Daphnia pulex: one gene and its partners. The protein of the gene in region 1 purifies or fractionates together with the protein of each later gene. This does not show direct contact. Links are inferred from orthologs where the notes say so. Each region holds a gene or a part of one and is shown in the gene's direction. Other genes may lie near its edges. The genes, in order: nuclear pore complex protein Nup107-like, nucleoprotein TPR-like, nucleoporin SEH1-like, protein SEC13 homolog and nucleoporin Nup37-like.

What was found.
Region 2: the proteins of nuclear pore complex protein Nup107-like (region 1) and nucleoprotein TPR-like fractionate together in Homo sapiens (co-fractionation; 4 studies listed by BioGRID and IntAct, with this or other methods). This does not show direct contact. The link is inferred for Daphnia pulex from reciprocal best matches to the Homo sapiens genes NUP107 and TPR.
Region 3: the proteins of nuclear pore complex protein Nup107-like (region 1) and nucleoporin SEH1-like purify together in Homo sapiens (affinity purification with mass spectrometry; 5 studies listed by BioGRID and IntAct, with this or other methods). This does not show direct contact. The link is inferred for Daphnia pulex from reciprocal best matches to the Homo sapiens genes NUP107 and SEH1L.
Region 4: the proteins of nuclear pore complex protein Nup107-like (region 1) and protein SEC13 homolog purify together in Homo sapiens (affinity purification with mass spectrometry; 8 studies listed by BioGRID and IntAct, counting the BioPlex papers as one, with this or other methods). This does not show direct contact. The link is inferred for Daphnia pulex from reciprocal best matches to the Homo sapiens genes NUP107 and SEC13.
Region 5: the proteins of nuclear pore complex protein Nup107-like (region 1) and nucleoporin Nup37-like purify together in Homo sapiens (affinity purification with mass spectrometry; 7 studies listed by BioGRID and IntAct, with this or other methods). This does not show direct contact. The link is inferred for Daphnia pulex from reciprocal best matches to the Homo sapiens genes NUP107 and NUP37.

Annotation. Positions count from the first base shown.
Region 1 is NC_060019.1:10,133,845-10,138,159, reverse strand, and holds the start of nuclear pore complex protein Nup107-like, read left to right. Parts: upstream 1-1,504; coding exon 1,505-2,284; intron 2,285-2,343; coding exon 2,344-2,689; intron 2,690-2,748; coding exon 2,749-3,100; intron 3,101-3,159; coding exon 3,160-3,628; intron 3,629-3,693; coding exon 3,694-4,315. Other genes in the region: protein BCCIP homolog, read right to left, coding at 1-165, 227-398, 457-620, 695-793, 854-1,138. UniProt on the Homo sapiens protein: Plays a role in the nuclear pore complex (NPC) assembly and/or maintenance. Required for the assembly of peripheral proteins into the NPC. May anchor NUP62 to the NPC. Involved in nephrogenesis.
Region 2 is NC_060019.1:7,495,828-7,499,982, reverse strand, and holds the start of nucleoprotein TPR-like, read left to right. Parts: upstream 1-1,350; 5' UTR 1,351-1,496; intron 1,497-1,571; 5' UTR 1,572-1,581; coding exon 1,582-1,738; intron 1,739-1,815; coding exon 1,816-1,978; intron 1,979-2,035; coding exon 2,036-2,257; intron 2,258-2,317; coding exon 2,318-2,477; intron 2,478-2,547; coding exon 2,548-2,678; intron 2,679-2,737; coding exon 2,738-3,064; intron 3,065-3,126; coding exon 3,127-3,250; intron 3,251-3,314; coding exon 3,315-3,832; intron 3,833-3,901; coding exon 3,902-3,965; intron 3,966-4,031; coding exon 4,032-4,155. Other genes in the region: DENN domain-containing protein 1A-like, read left to right, coding at 1-95, 241-411, 525-899.
Region 3 is NC_060020.1:7,749,695-7,753,121, forward strand, and holds nucleoporin SEH1-like, read left to right. Parts: upstream 1-1,170; 5' UTR 1,171-1,345; coding exon 1,346-1,456; intron 1,457-1,519; coding exon 1,520-1,676; intron 1,677-1,734; coding exon 1,735-1,886; intron 1,887-1,961; coding exon 1,962-2,308; intron 2,309-2,370; coding exon 2,371-2,531; intron 2,532-2,604; coding exon 2,605-2,768; 3' UTR 2,769-2,912; downstream 2,913-3,427. Other genes in the region: meckelin-like, read right to left, coding at 1-91, 153-344, 400-665, 745-1,057. UniProt on the Homo sapiens protein: Component of the Nup107-160 subcomplex of the nuclear pore complex (NPC). The Nup107-160 subcomplex is required for the assembly of a functional NPC.
Region 4 is NC_060026.1:1,756,671-1,759,890, reverse strand, and holds protein SEC13 homolog, read left to right. Parts: upstream 1-1,141; 5' UTR 1,142-1,293; coding exon 1,294-1,296; intron 1,297-1,366; coding exon 1,367-1,411; intron 1,412-1,486; coding exon 1,487-1,615; intron 1,616-1,691; coding exon 1,692-1,964; intron 1,965-2,027; coding exon 2,028-2,161; intron 2,162-2,229; coding exon 2,230-2,581; 3' UTR 2,582-2,669; downstream 2,670-3,220. Other genes in the region: uncharacterized protein LOC124206188, read left to right, coding at 1-626; tRNA (cytosine(38)-C(5))-methyltransferase-like, read right to left, coding at 2,692-2,845, 2,926-3,220. UniProt on the Homo sapiens protein: Functions as a component of the nuclear pore complex (NPC) and the COPII coat. At the endoplasmic reticulum, SEC13 is involved in the biogenesis of COPII-coated vesicles.
Region 5 is NC_060025.1:2,849,066-2,852,552, forward strand, and holds nucleoporin Nup37-like, read left to right. Parts: upstream 1-1,357; 5' UTR 1,358-1,563; coding exon 1,564-1,713; intron 1,714-1,806; coding exon 1,807-1,986; intron 1,987-2,047; coding exon 2,048-2,201; intron 2,202-2,271; coding exon 2,272-2,500; intron 2,501-2,587; coding exon 2,588-2,744; intron 2,745-2,815; coding exon 2,816-2,908; 3' UTR 2,909-2,973; downstream 2,974-3,487. UniProt on the Homo sapiens protein: Component of the Nup107-160 subcomplex of the nuclear pore complex (NPC). The Nup107-160 subcomplex is required for the assembly of a functional NPC.

The DNA of each region.
Region 1 (4,315 bases):
TTCGAGGAATTCTTTAATTTTAATCAACACCTCAGGCAGCTGCTTTGCGGTAATAAGGACTATCCTTCTTTTCGGATCGAATTGTTCGTCATCTTCGTCCCATGTCCCGGAAACTGCTGCATCTGACTCGCTTCGTACAGAATATTCTCCTAATATTTCACCCATCTATTTGACGAAATTTTATTACAACCTACTCTACTTAGGCGTGGAATTAATAGATGAATACCTCTGAAATTGGTTCTTCTTCTGCATTAACCCATAATATGGTGGCTCCTCCTTTGACTTTTTTTTTCCTTGATTCAGGATCTTTTCTTGTAGATTCATGAAGTTTGGAAATTAAAATGAAGTGTGTAAAGTCAAAAGGCTTTCCAGATTTTTTTGCTTCATCAATCTCCTTACTATTAACAAAATTTTACATTTAAACTTGGGATATAATTCAAATTAAGTCTTGTATACCATAGATTTTCCAGTAGGGGAACAGAAACTTGAGGTGGTATGTTTATGAACCTTTCATTGAATATAAGTCCTATCTGGTTAGATGGATCATCAAACAATCCACTCAGTTTCTTCTGTGTTTTTTCCAACAGGTACTTTTTTACTTCTTTAATACATTCCACATCCTAGGAAAAGTAAATAACAAAAAAAATTGGGTTAATTGTAATTTGTGTAACACAAATTCAAAATTTTATCTCACCTTGTGATGTGTCAAGTTAATTACAGAAGTAATTCCAAAAACTTCATCAAGAGAATTTCCTTCATCATCACTATCAGGTTCATCATTATCCACACATTGCTGAAGAAGTAGATATCTTTAGTAAAGTACACAAATTACATCTTCACAAGATTTTATTACCTGTAATATACTTCCAATGTAGTTTTGCTGAATGATGAGTTCCGTCAGACCACTTAAATTAATATGAGCCTTTAGGAAAAGCTGATGCATTAGACTCTTGATACCGTGAAAATCTTCAGCGATTGGTGATTGACCTTCAAAGTCGACTTGAATCTCTCGGTCGTTCTCTCCAAGTTGCTCATCTTCACCCATTTCTTCATCTTGAGAATCATTTTCTTCTTCTTCTTCCTCTGAAGAATCGCTGCTATCTTCTTCCATAGGCCGTTTAGTATTGAAATTCGCCATGATTTTTAAAGACAATTTTTCACACGTGTCAAAAAGTCAAAAACAAACTTAAGTTTGTCTGCTAGGAAGGGGTAGGAAGGAAGTGAAGTGAACATTCAAATTGTTTGAAATAAAATCTTAAAAATTGAGTTAAAAAATAGAATAAAATTGTATTAAATATTATAACAATTATAAAAATCAAATCATTACTATTTCAATTTCAATTAATTATAATTATTTTAATGAATAAAACTTTGAACGTGAATTGCAACGCCCTTTTACTTAGTCTGCTACGTTACAATAAAACGAAAAACGGAAAACTTCAAACCTTCAAACTTCTTCTTTATAAGACAGTGAATTTTATTGTATCTTTTTAAAATAAGCACAATGGAGTTTCAATCTCCAATTATTGCCGGTTCTAACTCAACTGTTACTGGCAAACTAAATCTTCCTGGTCGAAGAATAAAGCACTCACTCGAAAAGACATCAGACATGTTGGGGGCCAGTTGCCTCCCTTCTCCTAACCGACATAATACAATGTCTTTTATGTCTGATGATCTTAGCCACACTATTTTCGAAAGTGATCCTACATTTACGAGAATTGGTGCTGGTTTACAAAGGAAAAATCTGGATTCGACAAGAGCAGACTTAACAGTGAGCAATGTATCACGAAAGAAACGAAATGAAGAACTCATGAGCATCCTTCTAGAAGAAGAAGTTCCAGGAGTAGAAAATGTCTTAGAACTATTTGAGAGATTCCTCAAAACATTTCAGTCATATGGGGCAGAACATCAAGTGTTTAATCAGTGTGCAGAATATGAGTCAGAATGTGGAGAACAAGTATCTGCTTTGCGAAAATTGATTCAAATGGCCCCTCGTGGACACAACAAACTATCACAAGCACAAGAATTGGAGCAAGAACTGAGACTTGAGCGTGACACATGGAGATTGGTTGCATCTCTCTACCAAGATCGTTTAAACTCTGAATTTCATGACAGTGAAATGGAGTCTGATGAAATCTGGAGTGGATTGGATGATGTTACAAGTGAAGATGACTTGGTAAAACAACTCTATGACAAAAATGCCATAATCAGACAGGCTCAGCTCGTAGTCGATTGGCTGGAACAACGAGCGGCTGATGTCTATCACGATTCCCATTACAGCCAGGTATTTTTTAATGTAATTAAAATTTTCTTTTATTAAATAATATATTATACTCTAATTAGGTGGAGTTTTACGGAGATGCGGTTGCCGGCTGGGAAAATACTCTTCATTCTTTGGTCAGTAAAAAACGAGGGCTTAGTACAGATAACGTCGAGCAAAATATGGTTACTCAAATGGATCCCGATGCTCCTAACCGAGAACAAAACAGACGTCTTCACCCACTTGACAAAGAAGATGAAATGCGTTTGCTTCGTTCTGTATTTGCTCGACTCCGTTGTGGACAGCTGGATGAAGCCCAGCAGCTCTGTTTCCGAGCAGGTCAACCATTTCGGGCTGCAATTTTGGAAGGATGGAAACTGTTTCATGATCCCAACATGAAATCTCGCACGGATGTAGCCAACACGAAAGGTAATTTCCAGATTTGTAGAAACCAATGGATTCGATAAAAATATTTATCTCAACTGTAGAGTCGCCATCTGGAAATCCTTATCGTGACATATGGAAGACGATGACTTGGAAAGAGTGCGAAAATGTGCAGTTGTCGGAGGAAGAGCGCGCAATCTTTGCTCTTCTTTGTGGACATTTGAAAGCCCTTTTACCTGCCTGTCGTTCCTGGGAAGATCAACTGTGGGCTCATCTGCGTGCCATGATCGACCACTGTGTCGAGAAGGAACTTCGTCGCTGTGTCAATTATAAACGGCAACTTCAAATTCTACCAGACGAATATTGGAATCAACAGTTGACCGTCGAGTCCATTTTCTCAACTTTAGCTGCCTCCAGAGATAAGACTTTGATCGCCCAAGGCCGTGACCAATATAGGTGACTAATTCTTTAATTTGTCTAATGCGAAATTTACCAAAGCAAATTTTGAAATGCAGGATCATACAGCGCTACCTTATTATGGATGATGTTGACGGATTACTTGAAGAAATGTCGTCTTGGCTGAAACAAGGTGACAGCTGGAGCGTTCACCTACGCCCTCACATGATCCGGCTAATGTCCCATCTTGCTCTGTTCTTCCGGCGCATCGGTCGTGGCTCATGTGACGATTCCATCGGATCCATCCTGGAAGCTTACGTTCTACAACTTGTCAATCTTGGACGAACTGATTTGGCGGCTGTCTATGTTGGACAATTGCCTTTGCCAGAAGATCAAATTCGCCTGTATGCTCAATGCCTCGTTATGGTAGAGGAACAGGAAGAATCCTGTGACGACGAGGAGCGAAGGCGCCTCCTATCTTTGGCCCAGGATGTCGGACTTGATGTCAACGCTATCGCCAAACAAGTTGTAATCAAACTTTGCGACCAGGGCGGAATGGTCCAACACGTCACTGATGCTTCTCTACAGGTGATTAATATAGATTTCGATCTGCATTCGTGCATAGCGTACTCATAATTGTTTAATACTTTTAGGTAGCGACCACGGCAGAAGATGAACGCCGGATACGTTCACTGAGCTGGTTGTTAATGGATCCGTCAATGCGAAGTCAATTGCTTATCCAAGCCAACACTCTCATGCGGGGATACCTTCTCCGTCGTCAGATTGAAGCTGTGAAGCTGACGTTCCAGTTGACTCCACCCGACACAGTCGCCATATTGACCGAACTATGGGAATCACGAACTGGATTGACGGATTTGCCCACTGAAGTCGAGGCTGCTGTCCGTGAATACCTTTGCATCCAGACTTACATTGATGCACTAGACGCCTTTCAAGAATGGTTCACACGTTTCCATCACTCCAAGCCCAAGAAAACAGAAGCTACCGTTCAACAACAGCGAGGAGGAGCCAGTTCTCAACTATCATTCACTGAAAACTTACTCAAAGAACAGCATCTTAAGCAACATCAAGTTGAAATTCAACGCTGGCAGGCAGCCGTCGATTCCCTCACGCAATCAGCTATTGACAAACTGTATAACGTCCTACTTTTTCCTGACGGAGGCTGGATGGTTGATAGCATGTCCTTCGAGGAGGAAAATTCTCCCCGACAACAGCAACAACAGTTGTTGCGACAAACTTGCATCCCACACGCAGCCC
Region 2 (4,155 bases), about 2.6 Mb from region 1:
TGATACCTCTCAATTTGAACTTGATGGACGACATGAAGGATATTTTGGCCAAGACAGCGTCTTCCGCGTCAACACCACCCGCCATAGATCGTTCAGTAATAACTTTTACAATTGTGACTATTTCAGTTTATTGCTTGCTGGTTTTCCAATGTTTGGTTTTTTGTGTTGATGGTTGCTGGTTCTGTTTTGTTTATTTTATTATTTCGTTTTTTTTTTTTTTTTCTGTTTTAAAATTTGCAGCGTAAACCCAGTCTATCCAGTCCCCCTATTTCCCCTGTTGCCAACCCTGTCCTACGTCAACATAGTGCACCTATCCTTAACGCTGGACCTTATTCTGTTCAACCGATTCCCCTGCCACCCCTCCGTTCTCGTAAGCGTACCGAGCCACAAAGTAGTCCACTGTCTCCTAAGGTAATTTTTGTTTTCGTGTGGGTTTGAATATCGCGTGCATTTTTACCGTCCAGTCGCATTTGTGTTAGAATTTCCGAGTACTTGTTTTTACTAAACCCATAATATTTTTTTAGAGTGCAGCACAAGTAGATTTGATTCGTCTGGACTCGGCAACTTCACTCTCGCCAGTCGATGAATTTGATCCTTTAGGAGCTCTTCGAACGGAACCAGAACCAACGCGGGTAACCCAGTCTAATCCGGTCTATTCCTTCCACGTTCCGCGACAGATCGCAGAACCCCAAGTGCCATCTGGAGCCAGCAGTGGTAGTGGTGGAGCAACTACTTTTAAGGGCTACACCAGCCGTTTTGATACAGGATCGGATCCGTTCAGCAATCTTTTGGCGTTCACACGAACCAATCTTGGGCCAACTGTCTCTGGACCCGAGCGCGCCAAACCTAACGAATCCTTCCTTACATCCGACAAGTCATCTTGGACAACATTTGATTAATAATAATATTAATAATAATAATTAAAAAAACAAAAAACAATCATAACTGTCATTTGTATACACTTCAAAAAAGAGCATGGTCTTTTCCTTCCCTAATTATAGGTATACTCAAATGTTTAAATTTATTTCGTTTAACAAATTACATCGCTTTCCTCCTTCATGCTTATTGTATTATTTCTTATTTTATTTTAATATAAACCTTACGAGTCACATAGTTGTGTCGACGTCTTTGGAATGATCCTATATTTATTGCCAGCATTTATGTTGGTTATGAATAACCTAATGTGAAAAAAAAAGAAAAAAAAGTTCTATCCCCGAGAATTAACATTTAGGCATGTTGCAGTTTCCGTTGAGGTTCTTTTGCAGTCTCCCGCTTCCTCAGTTCCGCTCCCGCGTCCCGCTCCCGCCTTGTTAGGCGTCGTGGATAAAACAAACAATAAACAACTTGGCAACGTTTGCTTACGAATTTTGATGCCCAGGTTTGAGGACCCACGACGAAAAAAGTTTAGTCTACAAATTTTACTCACGCTCTCGCCAAGCTCAGACATCACCTGTTCTACCACAGTATCTACCGATCTTATTTTCCTACCCGGCGAGGTAAAAAATTTTAAATAATTGTTTAAACCATACATTAAATATTATTCGTTGTAAACCTCATTTTCTTTAATAAAGGTCCTTTTCAATGGCGGCCGTTAGCCTCTTGTCGTTAGTTTTATCGGAAGATGAATTTAAAAATCTAAATGACTCGATAAAAATTAAGTTAGAAGAGGTATTGAAAAAGCATGAAAATGATTCCAACCACTTGAATATCAAATTTGCTAAGCTTCAAACCCAGTCTGGTAAGTTTGCCTTTTATATTGTAACTATTTGGCATGTGGAGAGTAAACATCAAATGTGGCTATTGTATTCTTTACAGAACAACAGTGTTTTGAGTTGGATTCACAGCTTCAGCAACTACAAGATCGTTTACGAAGAGAGGAATCTCTAATTCAAGAATTGACAGATGGGAAAGCCAAGGTAGAAGCCGACCTTGCATCCTCACAAGATCAGCTCAATCATGTTGGATCAAAACTGGCTTTGTAAGATATTTTTATTTTAATCTTGTAAATTATTTATTTATCTGGTGTCTGTTTTAGACTGGAAGCTACTCACCAAGAGTGGAAGAAAGAAAAGGAATCACTTTCAGAAGAAAAGGATAATCTTAATTCTCTACTTTCAAGAAGAAATGACGACCTGGATAGACTTACAGGGGAGCTCAAGGCTTTAACTGATCAACTTGTTCATGCCAATAAAGAAAAATCTGAAGCCCTTATAAAAACCGAAGAACTTAACAGCCAACAGCTTGCTCTGGATTACAAGTAAGTTCTATACTTTTGTTCAGTTTAAATGTAGGTAAAAATAAAATGTAATATTTGTAGAGAAAAAAGGCTGAATCAAGAACGGGAACTTATTGTTCGACAGCAGAGGCTTTTGCAAGATGAACTTGAATCCAGAACAAAGGAGGTTATGAACATCAGACGTGAGAAGACTTCTAAAGTGCTAGAACTGCAAGCAGATTTGTCTGAGAAAATTGAAGAGGTATTCTTTTGCAAAATTAACACTAGCATTACTCAATTGTAATAATTGTTTTCTAAACTTATTTTTCTAGTTACGAATCGCTCAGAAATCCATCGGTGAACTAACAACGACAATTGAGCGACACGAAAAGCATATTAAAGAATTAAACGATAAACTCAAGGAACTAAGTGAAACAGAAATGAAAATGTCCGAAAATAATAGGTAATATTCAAAGTTTAAAATATTACTAGAATAATGATAAATCGTTAATCATCTTACAGAAATGAGCTGAGATCTCAAATGAGACTTTGTGATTTGTACAAAGCATCGAGTGAAGACGCCCAAGCCAAAGCTGATGAAATTACCAAAACTACCGAAGAATTGCAAAGACTACTTCGTGATGCCTCAGTGCGATTTGGAAACCTGGAAACAGATTCTAAGGCTCAAATTGATCAGCTAAATGACCAATTACAGAAAAGTTCTGAAACTAATGGGGAATTAAAGAAAGAACTTGAACGTGCCAATGCCTTACTTGATCCCAACAAATCACGTTTAATAACTGAAGAAAACATAGAAGCTATGTCTCCATCAGCTGCTGCAGCTTCACGGTAATAGAATGTGTTCCGTATTTTTAATCAATCTAATTACGTATAACTATTTTAATTCATAGGTTGTTGAAATCAGGAATGACCCTGACGCAGATTTACAGTCAATATGTGTCCATTTCCGAGCAAATGCTATTCAAAGAGGAAGAGAATAAAAAGCTGAATAACTATATTGATCAGATTCTCCAGGTAAAGAATAAATATTTTTTCTTTTATCGGTTGCTAATTCAAATTCTTTTACGGTTGTTTACAGGAACTCGAAGATCGAGCGCCAACCATAGCTCGACAGCGAGAAGACTATGAGAAATCAATTGAAATGGTTGCCAATTTAACCAGACAACTTGATTTAGCTGTAGAAGAAGCGGAAACCGAGAGAGAAAATGCTCTGGAAGCTCGCCGTATGCTGGGACAGTCTCAACGAACTTCTCAACGTCTCGAGAAGCAAGTTGCTGATCTGAGTAAACAAGTTTGTTTGCTCATTCGTGAAACCGAGGAGCTTCGAGGTAACAGGATACGCGACGAGCCCGCTGACGAAGACCAAGTGACGTCCAGTGAAGGATCGGCTGCTGCCGTAATTAGTCGCCACCTCGTCACGTTCCGTGATGTTGAGGAGCTTCAACAGAAAAATCAAATGTTGCTGACCACCCTCCGTGAAGTAACCGAAAAGCAAGACGCTGCTGAACAGAGTGAGATTGATACCAAAACCGCCAAAATTCAGCGTGCATTGGAAAATGCACTGACTGAAGTGGAACACCTTCGAGATACTCGAAGGTATAAACTTTATTAATCAGAGATACATTTTTTTCATTAGCTAAGTCTAATATTTATGACTTTTTTTAGGCGCCATGAAGAGCTGATGGAGAGTGTTATCCAACAGCGAGACATGTATCGCATTCTACTTCAGGTGACAGTTAACTTTGTTATTTATATATTTATTAAATGAGTTTTTAAACGTGCAATGCATTTACAGGAAGCCGGATTAGGAGACGCTCAAACACCGTCCAAATTCCGTAGTGTTGTCACGTCAACTCCTGCTCAAGTTAGGCAAGAAAGTGCTCGACCGGCAGACATAGAACTGCAGCTTAATGAGAGTA
Region 3 (3,427 bases), on another chromosome or scaffold:
TGCAGCACAATGATTTAAAAACCGATTGAAGAGGCTGGATCAATAAATATGTACCATCTAATGCGTATTGTTTAACCATAAAATCCATTTTCTAAAAAAAGTCATTAATGAAAAACTTTTCCTGTTTAGTCCGTAAAAGTTATAGATGCTACTTGATCTTTCAGTATGTTTATCCTGGCGGAGTTTAGTAGATATTCGTTTTGACTATCGTCGTAGTATATTGAATTGCTAAAGCCTCCAGATAATTGTCGATAAAGAGAGCAAGCTGACTGAGAATCGTAGTTGTAATCCGTTAAGACACAGAGATTGATCAGATGTTCGCAGTATTTTCCTCCACCGTGTGCCTTTAAAGAAAAAAAATTGGTGTTTAATAGCACAAACATGGTAAATAATTCCTACCTTGCATTTAATTGCCGTCAATCTAACCCAATTCCGCAAATAATTAGAAATGTAAGGTCTCCCGTGTAAGTTATATGTAAAGATAGTGGGTGTTTCGGGAATCGTGAATAAATCTTTGACGCAAGTTCCGTTCACATCTTCGTATTCACTAGGACAATGACACATGTTCGAACAAGGAACGCACGAAGATTTTGTGTCATCAGGCTGATGCCAAAGCGGGCATTTCAGACATCGTGCGGAGGTAATATTTCCAGTAATTTGAAGGACTGTGATAAAAATTCAGAAATTAATTCTTCTTTACTATACTTAGCAGATAGGACCTAGGTAAATGTGCGTTTTTCATACCTTTGATGTCGTACGGTTCACACGTGAGATTGCTTTTTAGACACATTTCTGACTGAATTGATTGGTTACAGCGTAAGCATTCAATTGCTTTGGACTTTTCATTAAATTCAGGGTAGTAGCCAAAGCCACACTCACAACTCAAACGGTCATCGGAAGATATTTGAAAGACCCCGCAACCTTTGCACTTATGTGATATCGAATCAAAGTAGGAGGAACGATTGCAGCTTTCAGGAAACGAAGACAATATGACATCGTAAGCCTCCACCTTCTTTAAGATGAAAAAAAGCAGGTAATGAGCAACTAACACGATCATCGTCACTTTAAATTTTTGTTTGTTTTGTAAAGCATATTTGTTACCTAGCAACCACTCCCCAGCAATGAGCCAAGTCAGCCAACCAACAATATCAGAAAAAACATCGTTTCTTTCATGAATCAATCTGGCAACGCCCACAACTGTCCCATACTGCCATAGTGCCATACATTTGAAGTTTGATCAGTCGAGCTGTCGGCTGCTTGCGTTCTTGCTTTCTTAATTCTGTGAAATTTGCAAGCAAAAACTTGTTTCTCGTGATTAAGAAGTGATTTAAAAAGTTCTGTAAACATGTTTCAAGCAAGAACGATAAATGCTGAACACAAAGACCTGATTCATGATGTAGCTTATGATTTTTATGGGCGTCGATTGGCTACTTGTTCCTCCGACCAGAGTGTTAAAGTAAATTGTTAGAAATCGAAAAAAATTTCTTGTGTTAACTAAATTGCGGAATTATCTTTCAAGGTTTTTGACCTGGATGAAAATGATGAATGGAGATTGACTGCTGATTGGAAGACTCATGCTGGTTCTGTTTGGAAAGTAAATTGGGCTCATCCTGAATTTGGTCAAATTTTAGCCACTTGCTCATTTGACAGAACAGCTGCAATTTGGGAAGAAATTGGTTTGTAAAATTCTTTACAATTTTAACAACTTAAATTAGTTACTAAATGCATATCCAGTTGGTGAATCAGGGAATTCAACGCAGAGTAAAAACCAAAGTCATTGGGTGAAAAGGACAAGTTTGGTAGATTCAAGAACCAATGTGACTGACATCAAATTTGCTCCAAAACACATGGGACTATTGTTAGCTATGTGTTCAGCTGATGGAGGAGTAAGTTCTAAGATATATTTATTACATTGTTAAATATATAAACCAGATGAAAATGTCAATTTTATAACATAATAGGTTAGAATATATGAAGCCCCAGACATTATGAACCTAAGTCAATGGAGTTTGCAGCAAGAAATAACACTGAAAATGCCTGTGTCTTGTCTATCATGGAATCCGTCATTTTCTCGTCTCCATCCTCCAATGTTGGCAGTTGGTAGTGATGACACGAATGTCGCCTCTGGTGGAAAAGTGTTTCTGTTTGAGTACAGTGAAAGCTCCCATCGCTGGTCTAAAGCTGAAACTATCAACACAATAGTCGACCCAGTGCATGACATAGCATTTGCACCTAACTTGGGAAGAAGTTACCACATTCTAGGAATTGCAAGCAAAGATGTTAGAATAGTTATTCTTAAACCACCTCAGTAAGTAGTTAAAATATTTTAAGGATGGAATAAGAATAAATTTATAATTTTTTTTATTAAAGGAAAGATGCTTATGCAGCAGCTTGTCCAACTTCCCAGTTGGAGATACTGCAGGCAGCCCAATTTGATGACCATCATTCTACTGTTTGGAGAATCTCTTGGAACATTACTGGAACTATTCTAGCTTCTTCAGGAGATGACGGCTGTTTAAGAATGTGGAAAGGCAAGAAATCAAGAAATATTTAATGCCATGTCTGGCCTATTAAATCAGCTGTTTTTACTGTCTATTTCCACAGCCAACTATTTGCAGAATTGGAAATGCATTGCCGTGTTGAAAGGTGATGGATCGGGTGTAAGTCCAGAAGACGGAACTGATCGTGATAAAACCGTTTCTGCAGCAACTGCTCGTTACTTTAAACTTGGCGCAATCAGCAATCCAAATCAAGTACCCTGGCACTAACATTTACTTCCCAATTTTTATGATAATAATATGTCTCTTCCAATCCACACAAATAACTGGGAGTTTTCATTTCTGGAGAAACCCATGGTCTCGAAAATGGAAAGTTGTTCTGAAGAAATAAATGAAATGATATGGAGTTTTAAACTATGTCATTTTTTCATGTCACATTCGTTTAGGGTCAAGTTGTTATAAAAACACTTTTCTCTAGTAGAGTAGCTATTTGTTTTTTTGTTAGGAGGGAAATGATTCAAATGATTTGATCATTTTCAGCTGCATTACTGCATACATTTACACATCTCTAAGGACATTTACAACAATAAACTGTAAGGTCATTTTTGTGATTTTTGACAAAAACTGAATATTACAAAACTCACCTGTTAGATTTTTGCAAACGTTTGTTTTTGTCTACCTCCAGTTTAAAAGTCAGTAGTTCCGTAAATATTATCAGTAAGTATTATTTTGACGCAAATAAGAAAAGAACTAAGGATTTGTGATCTTCGTCAAATTTTGGGTCGATTGCATGTGTCTGTAGGAAATATAGGAAAATCATCCTATTCGTGATTTTCCCTAAACTAGTGATAGCCATCACAAAAATTTACGATTTTAGTTTTAAAAAAATCATTTTTAAACATGGGAAATTGAGCTATCAGTTCCTTCCG
Region 4 (3,220 bases), on another chromosome or scaffold:
TTTCTTCTCGTGCTGTGGCCTCGCACATCAAGTCGCTGACCGAACTTTGGATTCAGCTGGAGCCGAAGACCGTCAATTCCATTATGGAACGCCTTGACGTGTTGGGCCGCCATCCGGAATTTATCAACAAGAAGAACTTTGTTGCTTCCGTCGGTAAGCCGTGCCTGGCTTTTTACCGTGAGCCAGATGATTTCTTCCCTGATGACGGACAATGGTATCGCGCCGTGGTTGAAAGCGTCAATGGAGACACCGCCAGAGTCTACTATTTTGATTACGGTCACACTTGTGAGGTGCAGACCAGTTTGTTGAGAGATTTACCCTCGGATTACGCCAAGCAACCGGCGTTGGCATTCAAGTGTTGCCTGGATGGAGCGGAATCTTTCTCCAAAGTCGCCGCCGATGCTTTTCTTGATCGCTTCGTTAAACGTGCTTTCTTCGCCGTTAAATTCATCAAGGTCGTCGACGGAGCCCTTCACATTCGTCTCTTTACTTTAAATGGGGTGGATCTTTTCGAAAAGCACCGCAAGATATTGACTCCGCCTTCGTCACCGGAAACTTCAGCGAAAGCAGATGAGAACGATTTTTCGACACCTTTTGCATTCCTTGCGACTCCATCACACAAATGAACCAGTTCATTTTCTCCAAAACAATTTCAAAATTCTTCTTACGACGACGGAAAGTCTTAATTCTATAGAGAGAGAGAGAGAACAATTATTTTATGAACTCGGTCAACAAATATTCAGCTTTTCTTTTCAACAGTGTTAACACACCCAGCCTTCTTTTTGCATCTTAATTGTTACAATATTATAGTAAAGATGTTTAATTCCTTTCGGTCTTCACAAACTATTTCCCAACAAAAATTTTTATATTAGGCTGCGGTTGTTTCATTTTCTGTGCAAGAAATATTTATTTTGGTTTCATTACTTTCGTGACTACGTTTCCTTTTTTCACGTTTTTTCCACTGTGACTGCGTTAATTATTTTTGTACTTGTCCTGTTGCACGTCACCCTTGTACTTCTTCCGTTCTGAAATTCTTAATAAATCATATTTGTTCCTTGTATTTATTTGTACGTCATCTTATTGATCTAACCCTTTTTTTGAATGAAAATTTAAATGGAGGTGGCGTGGCGCCAAAACGTTTTCACTAAAATTGGTTGAATTGTTGATGTTTGGCAACGCGCTGGGGACACGTCGACTGAAAATTGACAGATTCGTTTGTGTGAGTTTGTCGGTATTTTTTTTACGCAGGAATATTTTATAACTCGCTGTCTTATCTACAAGTTCTCAGTAAAAATGGTACTTTGTCATAATTTGGATGCATTTTTAAAGGCACTTGTAAAATTATCATTAAATTATTCCCTCTTAGGTGTCAGTCATTTCCACAGTCGATACTGGACATGAAGACATGATCGTGAGTATCTAATCATTCTGATGTTGATTTTGTAATTTCTTACATGATATTAACGTTTTTTTGGGGATTTATTAGCATGATGCGCAAATGGACTATTATGGCTGTCGGCTTGCAACCTGCTCATCTGACAGGTCTGTGAGGATTTACGATGTGAAAAATGGAACACAAACATTGGCTGCCGATTTGAGAGGACACGAAGGACCGGTATGTTAATTTTGAATGATCTGTTAATATCATACAACAAATGGTGGTTATACTGACAATTTCATACATTTATCAGGTTTGGCAAATTGCTTGGGCTCATCCCAAGTTTGGGAATATTTTAGCATCATGTTCTTATGATCACAAAGTTATTATCTGGAAAGAGATGAATGGACAATGGGTCAAGTTTTATGAATATGCTAACCATGATTCATCTGTGAACTCTGTTTGCTGGGCCCCTCATGACTATGGCCTTATCCTCGCTTGTGGAAGTTCTGATGGATCCATCTCCATTCTCTCTGCTACAGCTGCAGGAGGTTGGGAGGCCAAGAAGATCAACAATGCCCATACAGTATACATTTCACCATCTTTATTAAGTCTTAAATATTTCCTAATGCATGTGATGCTATTGTAGATTGGGTGCAATGCAGTTAGTTGGGCTCCAGCTATTGGACCTAACGCGGCCTTTGACTCAACTACCGGTTCACGATCTGCTCCTGTCAAGCGTTTTGTTAGTGGGGGTTGTGATAACCTAGTCAAAGTCTGGCGGTAAGTTACATAATTCATTTAAAAAGTAAATCTCCTTTATCAATCGAGGCCTTTTTTCGAATTTGCAGGGAAGATAAAGAATGGGTTGAGGAAGCTAAACTAGAAGGCCATTCGGATTGGGTTCGTGATGCAGCTTGGGCTCCGTCCATTGGGCTTTCGCGTACGGTCATCGCCAGCTGTTCTCAAGATCGTCGAGTGATTCTATGGACCAACGACGGTGTTTCCAGCAGTTGGAACCAACGAGTTCTTCACACCTTCGAAGATGTTGTTTGGCACGTCTCATGGTCCGTGACCGGAAACATCTTGGCGGTCTCTGGTGGGGACAACAAAGTTAGTCTCTGGAAGGAAACAGTGGAAGGCCAATGGGTATGCATCAGTGACGTGAATCGAGGCAAGGGATCGACGCCTGGCCAACAGTGAAAATACCCGTCTGTTTGTTAATCTCCACTCTAACGCTAGCCATGTTTCCCTTGATTTGGTTTACTATATAAATTACCGCAAAGAAACATTTAAACGTTTAATTATTTATTTCAACCCAATAATATTCTTAAAAGATTAGAAACTACCAACACGTTCAAACTGTTCCCTAAGAGTCGATACCGAGTTTTAAGTGAAGTGTTTTCAGGAAAGGTAAATTCAGCAGGGAAGCCCATTAAATTTCCGACTTCTCGCGGTGTGAAATATCTAAGAACAGAAAATGTTACAACAAATAATACGTTGGGTTAGTTATGAGGCAATTTCAGTTATTAGGTTTTCAATCTTACCTTAATTTTAAAGGTTTCAAATGAGCAATATCTTCATCTTCTTTAAATTCAGCGAATTTTTGGTGAAATGGCTCGTTCGGGTCGTGTTGAAGTACAGAACCAGTTCCTTCTGCATAGTGGGTATACGCTTTGGTGAAACAACAGGAAGATGTGTCGGATGTTCGTCGTACATCGAGAATACGCCAATACTTTAATAATGTTTTATCAGTAAGCAAATAACGTGCCAATTCTTCATCAGACATATCTTTCTCCAGATAGGGGTCTAACGTTTTTTCTTGCACCGGCATTTCAATGT
Region 5 (3,487 bases), on another chromosome or scaffold:
TTTCTTTTTTCCTTTCGCTCTCTTGTGTGTAATTTCAATCAAGCGCAAAACTCACAACTTTGGTTGGTGTTGTAATATATGGCCACTATAACTCTGCACTCTGTGAACTTGTAGATTTTTTTTTACCCCCCTTCCGCCAGCACTTTGGATTGGTATAAAATGTTGCGCAAGAATAAAATTTTCTTTTTTCTTGGATTTTTCCGGTACGTGAAATAATTTAGGCGACCCCACATCAGAGTGCGTCATTTATATCTTTTCGAGACGCCTTATTTATATTTTGTACTTGGGCAGCAGCTTTTATTTCTTCTTTGAGAAAATGGTGATGTCGGAAAAGAGATTATAATGATGATGAAGCTCCGGATGAGCTTACCGCGCCCGAAATCCATTGGCACTTTCCATTTGATTAATGGCGCAGCGGCATCGGCGGCCCACACACACACGCGCGACTATTTGCTTCATATATCGCGCATCACGTGTGTCCATTAAGGAAAGAAAAAAGATGAATCGAAATATATTTCCCTCGTGTCACGCAAACAGAAATTCAATCGATCTGCGGGATTATCTAATGATTCGGTTAAATGGTAAATTATACTGGGTTATATATTTTCGTTTATTTATAAGGAAGTGTTTTCATTGAAAACACTCGACAAAAATTACATCTTGCATCTGTAACAGACGCAAGACATCTCGTGATAGGAGTTCGAGATTCGATAGATCTCCGCACCAATAATTATAATTATTTAGGGTAATTATAATTATCACACAGATAACTTGTAATTTGTATTTTATGCAACACGGCTCTATAAGTACGGATTTCTTTATAAACTTAGCTAACACCTGAAGCATCACTGAAGTGCGATTTACATAAAAACTACTCGATTTTTTAAATGTTAAGAAATAGTTTATGACGCGCAATTATTTCTTACATAAAGTTCATTTATGAATATCTGCTTTAGTTTACTCGTGTTGTAGTTGTAACACGACGATAAGGCAAATTGCGTAGGTGAGGTTTCCTCGATTATGGGTAAAAACCCTTGCGGATATTGTCTATTATGAGACACAAATGGCGGAACATTTGTGGGGGAGGGGGTGATTCTTTCTTTTTGTCTGTAATCTGTAAAACAGAAATAATATGTTTGATAAATTCCCATATTCGGAAAATTGTGTTCTGCCATTAGTCAAGTTGCTATTAAAAATCTTAGCATGACAGACACATTCTTCTTTTTTGTCCGATATACTCACTGGTAGCGAGGTAATTTAATAACCTATAGCTGTGCGTTAAGAAAAACCATGGAATAACTGACTAATTTTCAGATTGATAAATTTTACTTTTATTGCTTTTATCGCTTTTATCGGCTTTTATAAAACCAGAGTTGATAATTTGATAAAGCGGTTGCAAAAAAAGGCTACTGGCAACAAAGCGACATGAGGGATTGAAATTCGGCAACGTAACTTGGCAGACGTAATTTGTTTTTACAAACCACGAAGCACGAACCACAATCAGAAAACCGATTTGAATTTGTAAAAAGATTTTTAAGTAAAAAAGCCATCATAAAAAAAGAAATGGGCTCTCTTTCCAGACCGTTTCATTCAGTTGGCTTGGGAGATGAAGAGATTTTCTGTCTTTCATTTTCACCATACGAGTGGTCCAAAAATTTCCTAGCAATCGGAACGGAAAATAAGGTGGTCGTTGCCAACGTTCAAAATGAAAACGTAAGCACATTTTGTATTGTCAAAACCTGTCATTACCTACTTGATACATCGTTATGTATCTATTGTTTTACTAATTGCTTTTGTTATCGTCAGGATGAGATTCAGTTCAATGTGATTCGTGAATTTCATCATTTTTGCCCAGTTGTTTCCTTGAGTTGGAGTGCACTCTCATCCAGTGATACAGTTCCTAAAGTCTGCAAATTTGCCACAGCAGGCATTGATGGGAAAATTCGGATTTATACAAGTGATCTTGCTCAATCAGAAAATGTTTTGGTAACAGGTTTAGCATACTTTGAAAGTCTTTTAAAAATAAAAATCAACATTATCTTTATAGGAATTGAGTGGACATGCTGACAATGTCAATTCAATAGCATTTCAACCAGACATCAATGAAAAATTCTTGATCTCTACTTCTGATGATTTTACTTGTAAAATTTGGTCTACAGAGACTGGAGATCTTTTAAAAACAATTCCTCTTCAATCTTCAGGTGATTTATAAATGAGATGTAAAAATGACAAAAATAACACTGTAGGATTAAAATTGGAAACCTTATGTAGGAATGGCCGTTAGATTCAATCCTTCGGAGCCCAGTAAATTCTTAGTGATGGAAAAGTCTGGCGTTACAAGAATCTTCAGTACTTTAAATTTTTCTCCAGTAACTTCTTTGAGCAACAACTTTAGCTGTCAAGACCCGGCTCTTGATGCTGATTGGTCGTCCTGCAATCCCACTCATATTGCGACATCATTAGGAGGTCGAATTCAAAATTGGGATTTAGAGGCATTAAGGTATACTATTATTCTTTACAAATGACATTACTTGAAAGCTGTCGACCATGGCAGATTGTTATTTGATTTCTTGGTTTAAAAAAAAAGGCTTCCAGAAGACACTACAACAGTTTCTTGTGAAATGGTCCGAAAAGTACGCTTTCATTCTACCATCGATACATTGATTGCCGTTCTTGGATCACCAGGCCCTGTTGTGACCGTACTCCGTTCATTAGGACCAGTAATGATAACGGATTCGTTAATGGTAAACTTAGCGTAGCAAATTTTTTTTTAACGTTGAATTTTCATAATAATATGTACTCCATTTAAATTTAGGCTGCCAGCGATCTAAGTTGGCATTATTCTTTACCCCTTCTTGCTGTAGCAAACGATCGATCTGTACGATTTTGGAAATTGCTACTAAAATAATCCCTTATTGTAAATTAATTTTGATTTCTGAATGCTGATCAAATAAAATTCTGAGCTCAACCAAACTTTAACTAACAATTCTCTTGGTAAACATATTTTGTTAAAACTTTTATTGAAAATTCCACTTATTAAGTTATGGTAATTCTTTTCTGTTGTTATATAACATAGGTCCTTAGTAATGACATGCCAATTAACAAACCTAAACAACTTTGACAAAAACATTTATACTTTCTCATATTAAATGATCAAATCCAATATAAGCCCTACTTCTTAAATTTAATATCCTGGAGAAATCATTTGTCACTATGGAATTTTTAAGCATATACATGCATTGAATTCAAAGATTTTTTAAATGATTCCATTAAAATTATATATATTATTAAGTTTTAACAGGAAATTTAACATAAATTTTGTTTGAAGAAACAATATGTTAGCAGGTTATAGCTTGCTGGTAAAGTGGTAACCTAAGTTCCTAATCTAGGCCCTTAATTGCCATAATTACCAGAACGCCAATACGTCTGTTTTTATTGGTCAGCAAATGCTGTTTGGATAAGTTTTCATTTTCTATTAAACTTGAGA